4 linked regions of the Oryzias latipes genome follow. The protein of the gene in region 4 interacts with the protein of the main gene of each other region in a pairwise test. Links are inferred from orthologs where the notes say so. Each region holds a gene or a part of one and is shown on either strand. Other genes may lie near its edges.

Region 1 (4,073 bases), on a different chromosome or scaffold from region 4:
TGTCCGTCATTATTGCTTCGCGGCTGTGTAGACGCTACTTGGCGTCTATCTTCTTCGCTGGTATGTGTGCTCAGCAAGGCAGTTTTGTGTTTGAGCGCCCCCAAGTTGTGTTTTACTGTAACTTCAGAAGCTCCAGACACGTGAGCAAAAGCGCCATTCTCATTGGTCGAGTAGATTTCGACGCGACGCGTCGAAAAAAAAAACGAACCCAAGGCGTTTTTTTTTTTTGACGCTTTAACGCGTGGCGTTTTTTCGCGTCGGTGTGCACACTCTCGTTGGTGCCCTTTGTTTAGTCACGAGGCGTTAAACGTCGGCGAAAATCGCCGGCGAAATTCGTCCCGGTGTGAACAGGCCTTAACACTGAGCGTGTAAATCCAAGCAGGGGCGCAAAGGAAAATTGACCGCGAGGGATCACCGCTCATTTAGGATTGCAGGCGTGCAGTTTTAAAATACGGAGTCGCTCGGTTAGAATTGCGCCCGCGCGGTTGTAAGGTTTGCTCACTCAGTTTCCGAATACACCCGCTCAGTTGTCTTTACGCCCTTTCACTTTATGGCAGAGATGAAGCGCCATACAAGACAAACATTAACTAGCATTCTTTCACCCAAGCACAACCTCACCTTGCCATGTTTGTGTCCATGCTTTTGTTTATGAGCCTTCTTCATCTTTTTCTTCATCTTCTTATTGGCTTTATGTCCAACCAGCCCAATTCCCATTCCTGCAACCCCACCCGCTACTACTCCACCCATTGGCATGGCTCCTCCATGATGATGCCCTTTGTGGTGCCCCCCTTTGTGGTGCCCCCCTTTTGGAGAGTGTGGGTAGTGACCTGGATGAACACCAGCATGTGGGACTCCTGGAACTCCACCTGGAGCCATGGGATACGGGTGAGCTCCAGGTGCTCCATATGGCATCATTCCTGGAGCTCCATGTGGTCCCATGGCGACATTCCCACCAGCTGGGTACTGACCAGCTGGGTACTGACCAGCTGGGTACTGACCAGCTGGGTACTGACCAGCTGGGTACTGACCAGCTGGGTACTGACCAGCTGGGTATACTGGTTGTGGAGGAAAGACTCCTGCTGGAGGCACAGGAGGATATGCAGGGTTGTAGCCAGGGGCAAAGGCTGGGTTTGGTGGAGGCACTGAATGGGGAGGACCTGATCCAAAATAAAGCATTTTGTGGCTGACATTGCATTAGGTAATACAAACATTTATAAAGAATTTTGATATCCCACCTTGATTTGGCCACATGGTTTTGGTGTAGAGCCTAATGACAAACACACATCAGGTGTCACAATAGAATCCTGACAAACAAGCAGAAAGGAAAATCAATATAAAAATATGATTAAAAAGGGCAGTAAGTCAACATTACAATCATATAAAAATTAAAACTAAAACCTAGAAGTAAATAATTTCCCATTTCAGTTTAGTTACTTTTGTTCAATCAAGTCCAACCTACCGTTAAAAACAGTTGAATATTCTATAAATTACATTTAACAACATCTTTTGAACAATAGAAACAAGTCTTGAGAAGTTCATTTTAGCTCGGTTTTTGACAAAAATTTGCAACAGAGCCAACGGCACCGCAGTTGGAGACCAAGGGAAATGCTACTTGTTGTGGAGGGACCCCCCCCCCCCCCCCCCCTCAAAACGTCACATGTGATTGCAGCATTTTGTTTTAAAACCAGAATAATTGACACACATTTGTAAATTACCTTTTAGGATGTACATGAAAGTGAGGAAGAATAGAAATGTAATAATATGAATCATATTTTAAGTATCTCATTATATATTTTCTTATTATATATGCAATAAAACTCCAAATTTTTTGATCCATTGATTCTTCACAGATTTGTGTGTGGGGATTAGATATAGTTTATATTCAGCAGGGTTTTGTTTTGTTTTCTTGACAGTTTGGTTCTCACATAAAATAGTCATCTGTAAAACAAACAAAAAACGTCAACATTTGCATCATGTGATTTTGACACACCTCAGGTCGGACACACCTCAGTGTGGAAACATGATCTGTATGTTCGAATCCAGGGAACCAACAATTTTCAACAAGAAATTCTTCATATTTTTATCTTTCAAAAACCAGTTTGTGTTAAACGTAACAGTTGGGAAATAAAGGGTAATCTACAGCTGTTGGACAAGTGAATAGTGGGAGCTCAACTGAGCAAATCTCTGAAAGCCATGATGATAAGACTGCAATCTTATATTTTACATCAATGGAAGAAATAAACACAAATAATAGAATTATTTAACCACAACACAAGATTGGTAGAATGAGATCATTAAACAAGCTTGAGAAGTTGCCCAAAAGTCTATAAAAACTGAAATCTAAACATCACTGACACACAAAACAACAAAAAGAAAGTAAAACAGCTAACATTGATGTTTAAAGTATCTTGACGCAGTTATTTGTTTATTTTAAGTCCATTTTAATACATCTATTAAATCTACACTGGACCTGCATTATTTCTCCGCCTGCCACAAAGCAGGCCTAGATGTCGCAAAACGAACCCCTCGAGGAATTTTTCTTCGGCTAAGAAATTCACGCAAAGTTCGGCCTCTTACCGAATATCCTGCATTTAAAACACGAGATATTTCCGAATTATCTACTGTCAACATCTGTCGCACTGCCTATAACAAAATGCCAGGTTCCAAAAGCTTACCTGAGTAACTTGCCTCTGCTTGTTCGACGTCACTTAGAAACCCGGAGCTTCTTGTTGTCTTCCGCGTTGAGCTCTGCAGTTAACTGAGACTGCGCCTGGAAGCCACGCCCACCTCCGATCAAGAATGCACAGTATTGTGCCCACGTTGAAAGCTCATTTAATACTTTCAATGTCACAATCACAAAAGACGGAGTTTGTCACCACAGGGTGTGTCCAAAGGAAATACGACCATAATGGAAATGATTTTATCTGAAAATGTCCATTACATCATGGATCCACTGTAATTCTTTTTATTTAAAGAAAAGTTTAACAATTAACTTTTGCTCAAGCTCATAGCAGGATTTTTTATTGAACAAAACAGTATTTACAGACGGACTTTCATAATTTTGCATCAAAATGAGTTTTATAGACCTAATAATAAAATATCGTGCTATTAATGAAATACAATAACCAAACCCCTTTTTAAATTCAGTATTAACCAAATTTTTAAATAAAACTTGTATGAAATTGTACCACTATGCCACAAATAACTGGCAGTTATTTTTTTCCATTACTGTCTGCTTTCCATTTGGTCATCAAAACACAACAATGAGTCATTGTGCCCATGATATAATAACAAGACTGTATCAGCCAAACTGAATTCACTTTTATCAGGTTTACACAATTTTCATGATCTTTTTGTTTGTTTGTTTTTTTGTTTGTTTTTATATATTTAGTAAAACAATTTGGTGAGAGACAGTTATGAAGTGAGAACTCCGAATACAATAGAATTTCTTGTGTTTCATATATTCACAGCAAAACTGATTCTTAAATAAGAAATAAACTTCTTCATGAAAAAAACAATATTATCAGTGGAGATTAAAAAAAAGTCAGCTAAATGAAAGCACCATCAAACCATATGTGATTTATCATTTAAATAAAACTTAACTCGTGAATGAATAGCAAATTAGTAAGTCAAGCTTCTTTTTCAAACCTTTTAACTTGCTCAACTTTGTTTACTCAAAGCCAAATGTCGAGCCTTCTCATATGCAAAATCACAAATAAGGACTTTGAAGTACAGCGTTCTTCCTAAATGACTTTCAAGTACTCGCCACAAACCCACCTTTTTCTTCCGCTGTTCAATCAACCCCCCCCCCACACACACACACACACACCCACACACACACACACACACTTTTTTTAAGGAAAATTTTCTCTACCTCACATTTGGGATTTATGGCTCTTTTTAGGGAGCTGAATCTTTTGAATCAGTTCACTTGGAAGGGACGTTCAAAAGATTGGCTGATTTGGCTCTTTTTATAGTTATTTGCTTTTAAGACTAGCCTGGAGTTTATTCATTTAATCCTGGAAATAATCACAGGGAGGATTGATGGGCCTAGATTTGGATCAGAATAATTC
Region 2 (3,998 bases), on a different chromosome or scaffold from region 4:
GGAGAGATGCTGTCCCACATCACACAAAGGTGTTAGCAGGGCAGAAAAGACCGACAGATGTCAAAATAAAAGCAGTTTTCTTTCTTTTAGTAAATATCCTTTAAGACCCACTTAGATGATAATAGAGTTTTGGGTGTTTTCAACATGTTATTGACATCTTTTTCTGAGGATTTAAAAAAACAAGCTTTAAATTTAACTTCTATATATTTCTTTTTTCATATTGTTGTGAATCAGGAGCAGATTTTTTTTTTAATCCTGCTGCTCTGCAGAAACTATGTTTAACACAGATTAATGTGATACAATTTTTAATTTATATAATTAAATGTTTGTTAGTTTGCCGCATTAGAAATGAGGCTTTTAATGTTCTGTTTTTTAACACAACTAGAAAAAGCTCACAAAAACTAGGAGCTTCTGTGACTGCAGTGTACCTGCACTTTAACATACATTTTTTCCTCTCTCCTCAAATAAAATGTACATTCATTCTTGGTCCAGCTTCGTTTTGTTTGTAGTTTGTAGTTCAGGTCTGGATGAACGTAAAAAAATGAGTACAATAAAAAAAAGAGGGGAGGATGGAAGTTCCAAAGCGTGCAATAAATAAATAAATACATGTTAGGGAGTTACAGCCAGAGGAAGTAACAAAGGACATATTATGGCACATACATTAAGATTTAAATTTAGTATCAAGAGATGGAAGTCCATAAAGAAAACATTCATAGTTACTTAAGAAAAACAAATACATATATACTAATATTTTGTTCTTTCTTCAATTAATATCTGAAAAGTAGCATTAAAATATTTAAAAAAGTGCATAAATGTTCTTACTAAACCACAAAGGGATGGTTTTACTGCCTTAATGTACATCAGTTATCAATGTGGTCACAACTGAGTAATTTATTCTTCAGCTTAAAGTAAGGCGTGGAGAAGTTGGGATGCCTCACCAGTTCACTCTCACGTGGTATTGGCTCTCATCCACAGCCATCGCCTTCGTCATGGAGATGATCGCCCCCTAGTGGAGAAAGTAGCGCATTACAGGAGCCGCCTGACTGCCTTAAGAACATCCTTCCAAATTCACTCACTTTCGTGGCAACATATGGCACTGCATCTTTCTGACCAATAGAGCCCACGAGACTGGAAATATTAATGATGTTTCCCTGACGCTGCCGCAGATATGGCAACGCAAACTGGAGGGAGACACACAAGGACACAAGATGTTAGAACAGTCCTAACTGTGTTCTGATTAGGGTTCTTGTTACACTCTAAAAAAAGTATTTGGGCTGTAGTTGGAAATATTAACTTTTTCACATTGATCTAATTTAATTATTCAGTTTGGTGAAAATAAATCGTTTTTTGAGTTCATTAAACTTAAAAATGACATTGTTATTTTACTTTTAATCAACTTAATTTGATTAAGTTGGTGTAACTTCGGTGTGAAGCTGTCAATGCGTCAAGACATCATGATAAAGAATTGTGGGATACCATTTTCTTTGCCTATCTAGGCAGATTGGGGTTTAAGTGTGAGTCCATGTGTTTTGTTGTCTAGCTGTTTTAATTTAAACTGTTGTGTTTCTTTCTTTCTGCACCATGAGTTAGAGTTGAGAGGATGATGTGATTTAATTAAGTTAGATAAACTTATTTCTTTTTTAGAGTGTAGGGTTCTTATTAGGAAAAGTTCATTTTCTATTTTGGACATTCATACACTACAATTAAAAAGAAAATCCTTAAAACAAAATGTTGTCCTCATAAAGCATCTTTGGTACTAAAAACTAACACAAAAAGAAAACTGTGAACCAATGTTTTCATATTTTTACTACTAAAGGCTCTTTTTATAGTGATTTTGCAGTTTTATTCAAAATAATTGAAACTAATGTAAAATAAAATGTTCTTCTAATCATAGAAAAGTTTACTTTGGAAGCCAGGAAGTAGCTGACGAGGTTCAGGTTGAGCAGATCTCTGAATTCCTCAGCTGTGGTGTCATCGATGGATTTGTGCGGAGGGTCTGAAAATCACAACAAACAAACAAAACAGCAACCTAAAGGTCTCCAAAAATGTCTTCAACACGTCTGCAGGAGGCCAGAGAGGTTTGAGCAGACTCACGCCAGCCTGCGTTGTTGACCAAGCAGTCGATGTGTCCATGCAGCTCCACGGTGGAGGAGATCAGCCTCTGTGGAGGTGGGTGGGAAACAAGCCCCTCGTCAGACTGGATGACAGAAAACGCCAGTCTGGTTGGATGGATTCTTGTAATAACCCAGAACTTCACCTTGATGTCCTCTTCCTTGGTGACATCACATCTCACAAACTTGCAGGATCCTGGTCCGGTTCTGTTCAGTTCTGCCTCAACAGTGTCACCTTCTGCAATAGTGACACAATTAAGACACTTCAAATAGGCCTAATTTGATAATGTACAAGAAAAGGGAAAGACTGTCTCTTTGCTGACCTCCTAATGCACAAAACACCACTTTGGCTCCATTTCTCACTGAAAAACAAACAGACTTTCAGGGAACTGGACTTGAACCTGCAACCCATTTGGAAATGTGGACAGATCCAATACCAAAGGCCTCGGTAATCCCTCTGCCGATTCCTCTAGACCCTCCAGTCACAATAACAACTTTGCCGAGGTAGCGGAAGGACATGGTGTTTGCGCTTTTCCTGCACGGATGTGCACGGAAGCGCCGCAAAGCCGCGAGCCGGTGCGTCCCGCAGCGTCCTGCAGCAGGAGAGGCGAGCGGCGGGTCTGTGCTCTGCGGGAGACTCACAGAAACACCGCGACTGGGCAAAGGTCTGCGTCTGCACCGAAAAAGAAACTATGCTGCATTCAAGCGCCGCTGGGAAGACTGGAAACTCTGAAATTCTTCAATCCTATTAAAAACATTTTTTTTTTTAAAAATCTGAAAGGAATTTGCTTTCGAATATATTACTTCTCCTTTTAACTGACAGTTTCGTGAGAATTTAGATAAAAAGAGGAAACATTTCTGAAGTTCCTTTAAAATTTGTTAAGTCAGCCTGTCTTTATTTCTCCTTTAAAAAATAAAATAAAAAGGTAGAGGCCCAGAAATAACTTTAGACCCGAAAAACGTGGTGTTTTTATTTTAACTTGTCCTGTCCAACAACCGAGCTAACATACAAGAGCTGAAAGCCTTTTGAGTTGGACAGATTTGACTATTATGGATCTTCTGACAGCCAAGGTGTATATCTGTATAAACCCCTTTTAGGTTTTTATTTTAATTGTTTGTTATTTATTTATTATATTTTATGTTTTAAATATATATTTTATTTCTGCTGGAAAGACAAATGTTACATCCAAAAGTGAAAATCTGACACCAAGATAAGTGGAAGATATCTGTCCATCTGTGGGTTAGGAGGAGGGATAAAGCAGACAGGGATAAGTGTGCACGTGCACATGCACACCGGGGGGGGGGGGGGGGGGGGGGGGAGATGCAAGCACGCTGCCAAAGTGTACCATGTGATCATTAGGGGGACCAGATCCTCCCCAGCATGACCGGTAGGACCAAGAGAGAAGGTGCAGGAGACCGCCGTTTGGGCCCCAAGGCCCAAATGGAGGGGACCCTCCTAGGGGGCCCTTCCATCACTGCGGAGCACAGGATAGCCCGCCGTTTGGGCCCAAGGCCCAAATGGAGGGGACCCTCCTAGGGGGCCCTTCCATCACTGCGGAGCACAGGATAGCCCGCCGTTTGGGCCCCAAGGCCCAAATGGAGGGGACCCTCATAGGGGGCCCTTCCATCACTGCGGAGCACAGGATAGCCCGCCGTTTGGGCCCAAGGCCCAAATGGAGGGGACCCTCCTAGGGGGCCCTTCCATCACTGCGGAGCACAGGATAGCCCGCCGTTTGGGCCCCAAGGCCCAAATGGAGGGGACCGTCCTAAGGACACCCTAGGGGGCCCTTCCATCACTGCGGAGCACAGGTTAGCCCACCGTTTGGGCCCCAAGGCCACAGGACAGGCACATCAGACGGCCGCCATTGGGGCCACCGGGTGCTGGAC
Region 3 (4,214 bases), on a different chromosome or scaffold from region 4:
ACGTGTGTGGCAAACAAACACTGAAATATTTTACACTGATGACACGGCAGCTAGCGTGAAAGCTAATAGCCGGGCTAGCAGGCTAAGACTACTTTGTAGTATGTTGTCGTGACAGCTGTCAGGCGCACAAAACACTCTGATGCAAAAACTCTTGTATTAGCAACGGTTACAAGAGGCATCCCGTGCAAAACATTGTCTCGAAATAAACACAACAACTTTCCTATTCGAATTACTATGATTCACTTACTTACAGATATCCGTTAGAGGAGGTAGCCACAACAAACAACAAATGCTGATTAACCTTTTTTGCATTAAGCTCCGTGTTGGCTAAGTTTTGAAGTCTCCGCTTTTGGATCGCGGGTGAATCAAGTTAGCTAGTTAGCAAGGCGACTAGCCAGTGAATGTTTTGAAAATGGTTGGTACTTTCAACAATTAAGCGAGACTTTAACCATTACATAATCTAATTCACGAATTAGCGATGTTAACCAGCTATCAAGATTTACGCAACGTCTGACCGTCAGGTTTAAAAACAAAGAGCAGTAGCGCTTCATTTCACTGCGCTTGAGTTCCTGGGTAACCGCTACGAGCTATGCTAGTTAGCAAAGCTAAAGGACTGAAATTTACTTGGTTCTGGAGAGTCCCAGCAAAACCGAGGGATGTCCCGCTCCCCGTCCACAACGATCCGGCCGTTGCTTTTAGTCTCCGTTCTGCTGAACCGTGTGGAATTCACATTCAATTCAACAACCATAACGACCTATGTGATCCCAAATTCACATTTGCTCCTTGTGTTTTTTTTCTTTCCCTTTTTCTTACAAATTCCAAGCAAAAGAAAAAAGAAAAAAAAATAATAATGGAGTTTTCTTTTGGGCATGCGCACTCAGCGCGTCAGGAATATTGTACCCAAAATGCAACGGGACCTTTGTAACGCTTGTCTAGCGCAGGTTGGAGCGTCCTGACAGAGGACACTGCATATATATCTATATATCCATTTATATCTATATCTATATAGATATATATGCATCTACATATCTATATATCTAGATATATAGAGATATAGATATGTAGAGAGATTTTAAACTTTAAAACCAAGTCCAGATGACATCCCCTAAACCTACTACAATGGAACCAACCTGGATGAATGAGAGTCTTCATAGACATACATATAGAGATATGTATATAGATAGATATAGATATAAAGATCTATATCTATCTATATACATAGATAGATAGATAGATAGATAGATAGATAGATAGATAGATAGATAGATAGATAGATAGATAGATAGATAGGGGGGAGTGTGTGTATCCCCTTTTCCTCCCGACTCAGGCTTAGTGAGAGATACTCAGCTGTTGCAAACTGTCAAGTTCACTCAGTAATGCCAAGCCTGCCATGCACAAAAATACACACACTTGGGCATCCATAAATAGTTAGATCTTTCCAGTCCCTTTACACTATTTTGTATATTGGCATATGTAAATATATATTACTTTAGTGAGGTTACATTCAAAGTGTAAAATCCTCTGAAGCGAATATCAAGAAACCACAAATAGGGGACCAAAGGCCAAAAGGCCTGAACTGACAGGACATTTTGGGCGGCTGCTTTGTTGGAGTCAGTAGCACAGATCGTACGCCACACCAGTCATCGTCTTTTGCTCAAGACCCACCATAGAGTTTTGACAATATACTGGATTTGTAACTTCCTCCGTGGTCTTTCACTTAAGGTAGGCTACCATTGCATATATAAACAATGCCTGTTAATAACCATTTCTGTTTCTGTTCTGTAAGTAGATTAAATTTGTTAAGTGAATTGTTCACCACTCTTAAAATCTGTGTGGTTTATTTAAAACAATTTTGTTCAAGATGATAGCTTGGATTTCGTTACGTTTTTTTTCCTGACTAGAAAAAAATCCAAAATTTAGCAATTATGAGATTTCAAAACCCAAAAAGAGTTTGGGTAAAGCTGTAGGTGACAATTTGCAAAATCCAAGTTACACTGTCAAACACAAAATAATGAAGCATATTTGTTTTGTTTTGTTTTTTTACAAAAAATTTCTTTCTGTATTTGATATTTCAACTTTTGCTGTGTGAAATTGTAGGTTGGTTAATATAAACATGCGAAAGTAAATCTGTGGCTAAATACATTTTACATTGGCATTTGTCTATTTTTAAACACTGGCAGTCATAAAATCCTAAACATAGAAACGTAAGGGAGTGATTATATGAACTCTCACAATTAAAAAAGAAAAGAGGTCCTTTCAGATGTACATAAAATATAATATTTTATAAACCAAAGTTTTTATTTTATTGAAATCATTTAGAAATTCTAAATTTTAAGTCAATCAACCCCATGTCAAACGTTGTTCCATTATTTCTAGGTTGGAAAGTGTTGACTTTGTCTGCATTGCATCATGGATCAGTGAGTACAGATCCACTCATCATTTGTTCCGTCAGTGTCAAAATGTTATAAGCTTGTTAGTTATCAATTAACTTAAAACTCAACTTGATAAGTGATACTATTAGAGATCTTTTTTGCAATGAGGTCAAAGTCTACCTATTAATTTCTATAAAATAATTAACTGAAGTTATTTTATAAAATTGTATCGTTTAAGACGAGTGTCTTTTGTAACTTGGAGTAGATTTTTCTTCTGATTACATGGTTTCCATGATGCTTGTTTTTTTTTCCCTAGTCTGTCATGGTAAAATAAGTTCAGTAAGTTCTCCTTTAGTGTCATTGCTGAATAAACATGCACCAGTAGTAAACCTTTGAGTTTTATTTATTAATTCCAAAATTGTGTTTTTTTCCCAATCCGTGGCTTCGGCAGCTTATAGTTTTTTCCACGTTTATTTATCTCAGGGAGGATGACAAAAACTCTGTGGATATTCATGACAATCCTCCAGTCCCTGACAATGTAGTGAGGGAGGAGGGAGACACAGTGAGTGACAGCACCATGCCAACCACCCACCATTAGGGCCATTCCCAGGATGTTTAAAATAGCCACCAGTTGGAACAAGGCTGCAGTCCACTGTCAATTCTGAAAATATGACCTCAGATTTAGATTTCCCTGAAGATAGTTTTATACATGTAGTCTAGACAGTTTGTTTCATTGCCAAAACTCTGACTCATACAAATCGAGATTCTTTATGAACACCACCCTTAACATGTTTCACATTTTCTGCCTAAGCTGTTTCTGCTATTTCTCAAGGTCTACTTCATATATGAAGAGGAAGTTGAAGTGGAGGAAAAGGAACCAGAACCTCCCCCGGAACCCATTCTTCGGATCAATGACAAACCCCACAAATTCAAGGATCACTACTGCAAGAAACCTAAGTTCTGCGATGTCTGTGCTCGCATGATAGTCTGTATGTGCTCACCAGGATACGCAAATACACAACCAGTCCTGTTAAATTTCCCAAAGAAATGTGTTTAGATTGACTTTTCATAGTGATGCTATTTTCTACATCAAAATGATGTGTGACTTTTACTGTTTTTCATTTGCACATCTTGCAGTGAACAACAAGTTTTGTCTGAGGTGTAAAAACTGCAAAACCAATATCCACCATTCATGCCAATCCTATGTCGAGTTCCAGAAGTGTTTTGGCAAAATTGTGAGTTTTATTCATCATAAAAAATGTTATATTTTACACTGATATCAAAGAATATGCAGTCAAATAGATAGACAGTCAATAAAATCTGTGCAAACTCAGATTATTGTGTTTTATAATTCAAAGGCTATAAACTCTTATGAATATTTTATTTTTTATTTTTGTGTTTCTAGCCACCTGGATTTAGAAGAGCTTACAGCTCCCCTTTGTATGGCAGTGACCAACCCGATCCAAGTGAGTCCAGAAAAGTTAGCTCAAAATAGACATGATTATCATAATCACTATTTTGAAAAAAAGAAAGTTACTTGTGTTGGAAAATTGCTGTAGCTGATTCAACAATATAATTGAAATAAAGAAAAATTACACCAGTTTGTACAGAAAATCTCCTTTTGGCTTAGCATAAAAATTAGATTACATCTTCAAAGGTGACATCTAACCTGGACTGTAGGCTTCTGCATTACTAGTCTTTTTAAATATTACTATCAAGCAGTCAAAATTAAATAGATAAATTATTGATTCAGCTCAATAATTTTGCATTCCACCAGATAATCCAAACCGGAATGACCCCGTCTTTGACACCCTGAGAGTGGGCGTCATAATGGCAAACAAG
Region 4 (3,500 bases):
AAATAAAAAAAATACATTTTTACCCAAAAGGTTTGGTAAAGACAAATCCAAAAGTCACTATTAGATGCACATGTTTTCATTTATTCTGTGACATTTTAAACTCTAACCTGATGGAGATTTTGATGGAACAGGACCATGAATTGCTAGAGATGCACTACGTATGCAGAATCTGCGTTATTGCTCATTTCAGTCAGATTCTGAAGAGTCAGAGGAGCTAGAGGAGGAAGATGACGAAGCATGTTTCCTCTTTTTTAATCTCTTCTTGTGATGCTTTCCATGCTCCTTTTTGGTCTTTTTGCTTTTCTTCTTGTGACCATCTTTCTTCTTCTTGCGCCTCTCTTCTTGGTCTGAAGCCGAATGGGATCTGCTGCGTTTCTTCCGCTTTTTGTGGGCGTCTTCTTCAGTTGAAGATGAACTAGATCTGGAGAGAGAGAGACAAAAAAAAAATGGATGGACTATCCCTTTAAATCAACACAACTAAACCTACCTCTGTTTCAATGTTTCAAAAGGGAGTAAAATCGTACAAAATGTAATCATAGTGAAAAATCAGCTTTTCATTAGTTTGGAAAGACTTATTTTATCGAGCAGATGGTGGAAACAGGGTTAATACCTCTGTGCTACCATTCCAGCTTGATTTACTAAAAGGTTTGTTTACAGAAAAACCTGGTGTGCAAACCAAATTGTTTCTGTTAAACAACAATAAGAGTACTGGTACCGGAATTTTGCACACGGTCGTTGATGCACATGTGATAACGATCACAGAACTGGGAGGTGTAGATACAAGAACAGTAACTTAGGACACGCAATAGAATTCATTAAACATGAGGCAGTAATTCAGCTGCTTTTGCGTCCATATTTTGCTCAACTGAGAGGCAGGTGGAAACTGACACGACTAAAGCAAAAATGCCTGTAGTCATTTCAATAAGACAAGTACCATTAAAAGAAAAATAAAGTACACAACGGCTTTGAAATAGAGCAGAAACTGTATTATCTAACTTCCAGCAATTTTACACAACAGTAAAGCAAAACCACAGAATGAAAACAAATTAAGAGGAGTTCAGTTCTCTATTGCATTAGATAAATGTTAAAAGACAAAGTAAATAAAAATCACCTTTTTCTTGACTTTCTGTCCTTGCTCTTCTTCCTTTTACGCCTCTTTTTTCTTTCATCATCATCATCGGAAGCTAAAGCACAAGAATCAAAGACCACATTGGATCAATTTTTCAATCACTCAAAAGCAGATCAATGATTCTGCTTTTATTGAATGCAAGGAAACTTATGGAATTTGTATTTAACTCTAAAAAATTACATACTTCACAAAAAAGAAAGAAGAGAATTCAGATCTGACCTTTCTGATGCTGACCCCTCCTTCCTAGCTTCTCTCTGCTGGGAGGAACAGGGATGTCGTCTTCACTCTCCTCTGTGCTGGTGCTGCTTACGTCCAGAACTATGTCTTTCTGGGGGTCAACTCGCACAAAGTTTCGACACTCGAATGTTAAATGACCCGCTGAGGAACAGAATTAGTGAGATTTGTTCATAAATGAAGATATTTATATTGCTGAAATGTTAAAACTATACAGTATTAATTAAATTAATACTAATATCTAAAAAAAGCCCCAAAATGTTTTTTAATCTGCCGCTGTAACTACACATTACAAAGCATTGCATTTTCTGAAAAATATATAATTAGGTCAAAGCTGTTTGACTGTCTCTAACAAAAAAACAACAACAACTATAGCCCTTTAACAGCCATAGCAAACAGAAATCACAATTACTTTAAGACAAAATTATTGATATAAAAAAGAAGATTACTAAAATTATTCTGCAACAGCAGCAACCCACGTTATATACCTATAGATATGTCAATGTATGTTTGGCACTAATTTTGCATTGTGTGCAAAACAAGTATATATTGAATTATTAAGCTAAACTAAATTAAACTAAACTAAAATGTGCATAACAGATAAACTGATAACACTAAATCTAAAACCCATAGCGAAAAATAAACAAATACTAACCGTATCCACACTTTTTACATCCAGCCCTGATATTGTCCTTATTTGGTCCTAGAATATAACATAAAGACGCATGTTTCAACAAAATATGATGTTAAATATATACTGAGATCGAAGTAGGATTATTATTAGAGACCAGTAAAGTTATAAATTTAAAAAAAAGAAAAGTAGGTATGGTGGCACACTCGGCGCTTAAGCTATTACAGCTTTATAGTTTTAACACTTTTTAACTGTACGCCTGGTCTTTGTTTGTATATATATAAACAAAACAAAAAAATACAGTAAATTGGAATTTTTCATGGATACATTGCAGTTTACATTTGTAGCTAGTAAAGAGCCGGCGTTGATGTATTTCTTCACCAACAAACCTGAATAACAAACATAAAATGTCAAACCTGGCACAGCCATTGATCTTCACACGACGAAAAAAGTACAAAAAATTAAAAAATAAGTTCAGCGCGAGCCAAAACAGTCCTGGAGGAAAATATCGTCGTCCGGAAACATTTGTTCTGGAAATTACTGCGTTCCACCTTATCTTGTTCTTGTGTCCTCAGTCACAGACCAGCGGCTCGGTGTCGCCCCCACGTGGATGGAAGTTGTATTTGAACAAATTCCTCTGTATGATGTTTTTCAAGCTTTTCCTCTTTCAAACATCAATAAACAGGAAAAACCTAACTGGGATGAATCTGTATTCTTTGCTTCCTATACATTTAAAAGTAAATACATCAACCAGGAACAGAATACTGCTTAATTAAAACAAAAAATATATATACACATTAAAACAATTGAAAACTTGATGCTTAATTTGAGTTCACCACTTTACTTTTTTAAAACCAAAAAGTATTTCTGTATCATTTCAGACCTTCCTGATCACTTTAAATGGCAAACGTATAGTTGCAGGGATTAATTGAAGACATTCCGGGTTAGAGTCACGGATGGAAATTGTAGACAGATGTGAGGCCTCCAGACATGCTGTCATTTGTCTGTGGCTGCGGTACAAGATCACTGACGCACACCATTTCCAGCTTTTGATTACACTGTATGGCTCAGGAACTGCCAGAATAAGTGCAACATTTTTCTGCATTGAAACTATTAGGGCTGCACAATCGAATCGTTCTTATAACAGATAGGCCCCATGACTGAAGAGGACGGAGGAGACTTAAACCTTAAACAAAGCTTTGATCTTGTGCTTATCACATTGCTTAGCTCATATTAGAACAGAAATTTGTAAAAATAAATAAATAAAGCATTCAAATTTAATCACAATAGTCAAAACAAACTAAATTAAAAATCAAAATAGTATGACGAAGTTACATCTAATAATACTACCGTACTCTCTTTAAGAACATCTTACATTTACTTTATCTTTGAAAAAACTTTCTCCTATTTTACTTACATTTTGACTAAAGTTCAAGCAACATTTGGTTTACTTTGTCTTTAAATTATATTACATTTTATTGATTCTAGATCTTTTTTTTCCAAGAC

The links.
Region 1: the proteins of srek1ip1 (region 4) and prr13 interact in binary tests that used the Homo sapiens proteins (3 or more experiments, as listed by UniProt). The link is inferred for Oryzias latipes from reciprocal best matches to the Homo sapiens genes SREK1IP1 and PRR13.
Region 2: the proteins of srek1ip1 (region 4) and hsd17b14 interact in binary tests that used the Homo sapiens proteins (3 or more experiments, as listed by UniProt). The two-hybrid records come from large-scale screens. The link is inferred for Oryzias latipes from reciprocal best matches to the Homo sapiens genes SREK1IP1 and HSD17B14.
Region 3: the proteins of srek1ip1 (region 4) and stac3 interact in binary tests that used the Homo sapiens proteins (3 or more experiments, as listed by UniProt). The two-hybrid records come from large-scale screens. The link is inferred for Oryzias latipes from reciprocal best matches to the Homo sapiens genes SREK1IP1 and STAC3.

What each region holds. Positions count from the first base shown.
Region 1 is NC_019863.2:10,423,632-10,427,704, forward strand, and holds the start of prr13 (proline-rich protein 13), read right to left. Parts: upstream 2,801-4,073; 5' UTR 2,676-2,800; intron 1,305-2,675; 5' UTR 1,252-1,304; coding exon 1,236-1,251; intron 1,158-1,235; coding exon 619-1,157; intron 1-618. UniProt on the Homo sapiens protein: Negatively regulates TSP1 expression at the level of transcription. This down-regulation was shown to reduce taxane-induced apoptosis.
Region 2 is NC_019866.2:3,307,114-3,311,111, forward strand, and holds the start of hsd17b14 (17-beta-hydroxysteroid dehydrogenase 14), read right to left. Parts: upstream 2,801-3,998; 5' UTR 2,631-2,800; coding exon 2,549-2,630; intron 2,474-2,548; coding exon 2,435-2,473; intron 2,350-2,434; coding exon 2,258-2,349; intron 2,162-2,257; coding exon 2,095-2,161; intron 1,997-2,094; coding exon 1,905-1,996; intron 1,182-1,904; coding exon 1,077-1,181; intron 1,007-1,076; coding exon 939-1,006; intron 10-938; coding exon 1-9. UniProt on the Homo sapiens protein: Catalyzes the NAD(+)-dependent oxidation of L-fucose, yielding L-fucono-1,5-lactone, which rapidly converts spontaneously to L-fucone-1,4-lactone. Can also act on D-arabinose and L-galactose, with lower catalytic efficiency. Does not use NADPH.
Region 3 is NC_019865.2:7,551,761-7,555,974, reverse strand, and holds the start of stac3 (SH3 and cysteine-rich domain-containing protein 3), read left to right. Parts: upstream 1-1,414; 5' UTR 1,415-1,722; intron 1,723-2,376; 5' UTR 2,377-2,409; coding exon 2,410-2,417; intron 2,418-2,855; coding exon 2,856-2,934; intron 2,935-3,204; coding exon 3,205-3,361; intron 3,362-3,509; coding exon 3,510-3,607; intron 3,608-3,777; coding exon 3,778-3,838; intron 3,839-4,149; coding exon 4,150-4,214. UniProt on the Homo sapiens protein: Required for normal excitation-contraction coupling in skeletal muscle and for normal muscle contraction in response to membrane depolarization. Required for normal Ca(2+) release from the sarcplasmic reticulum, which ultimately leads to muscle contraction.
Region 4 is NC_019862.2:11,630,851-11,634,350, reverse strand, and holds part of srek1ip1 (protein SREK1IP1), read right to left. Parts: intron 2,582-3,500; exon of another isoform or gene 2,424-2,581; coding exon of another isoform or gene 2,411-2,423; intron 2,067-2,410; coding exon 2,019-2,066; intron 1,508-2,018; coding exon 1,349-1,507; intron 1,185-1,348; coding exon 1,112-1,184; intron 422-1,111; coding exon 187-421; 3' UTR 1-186. UniProt on the Homo sapiens protein: Possible splicing regulator involved in the control of cellular survival.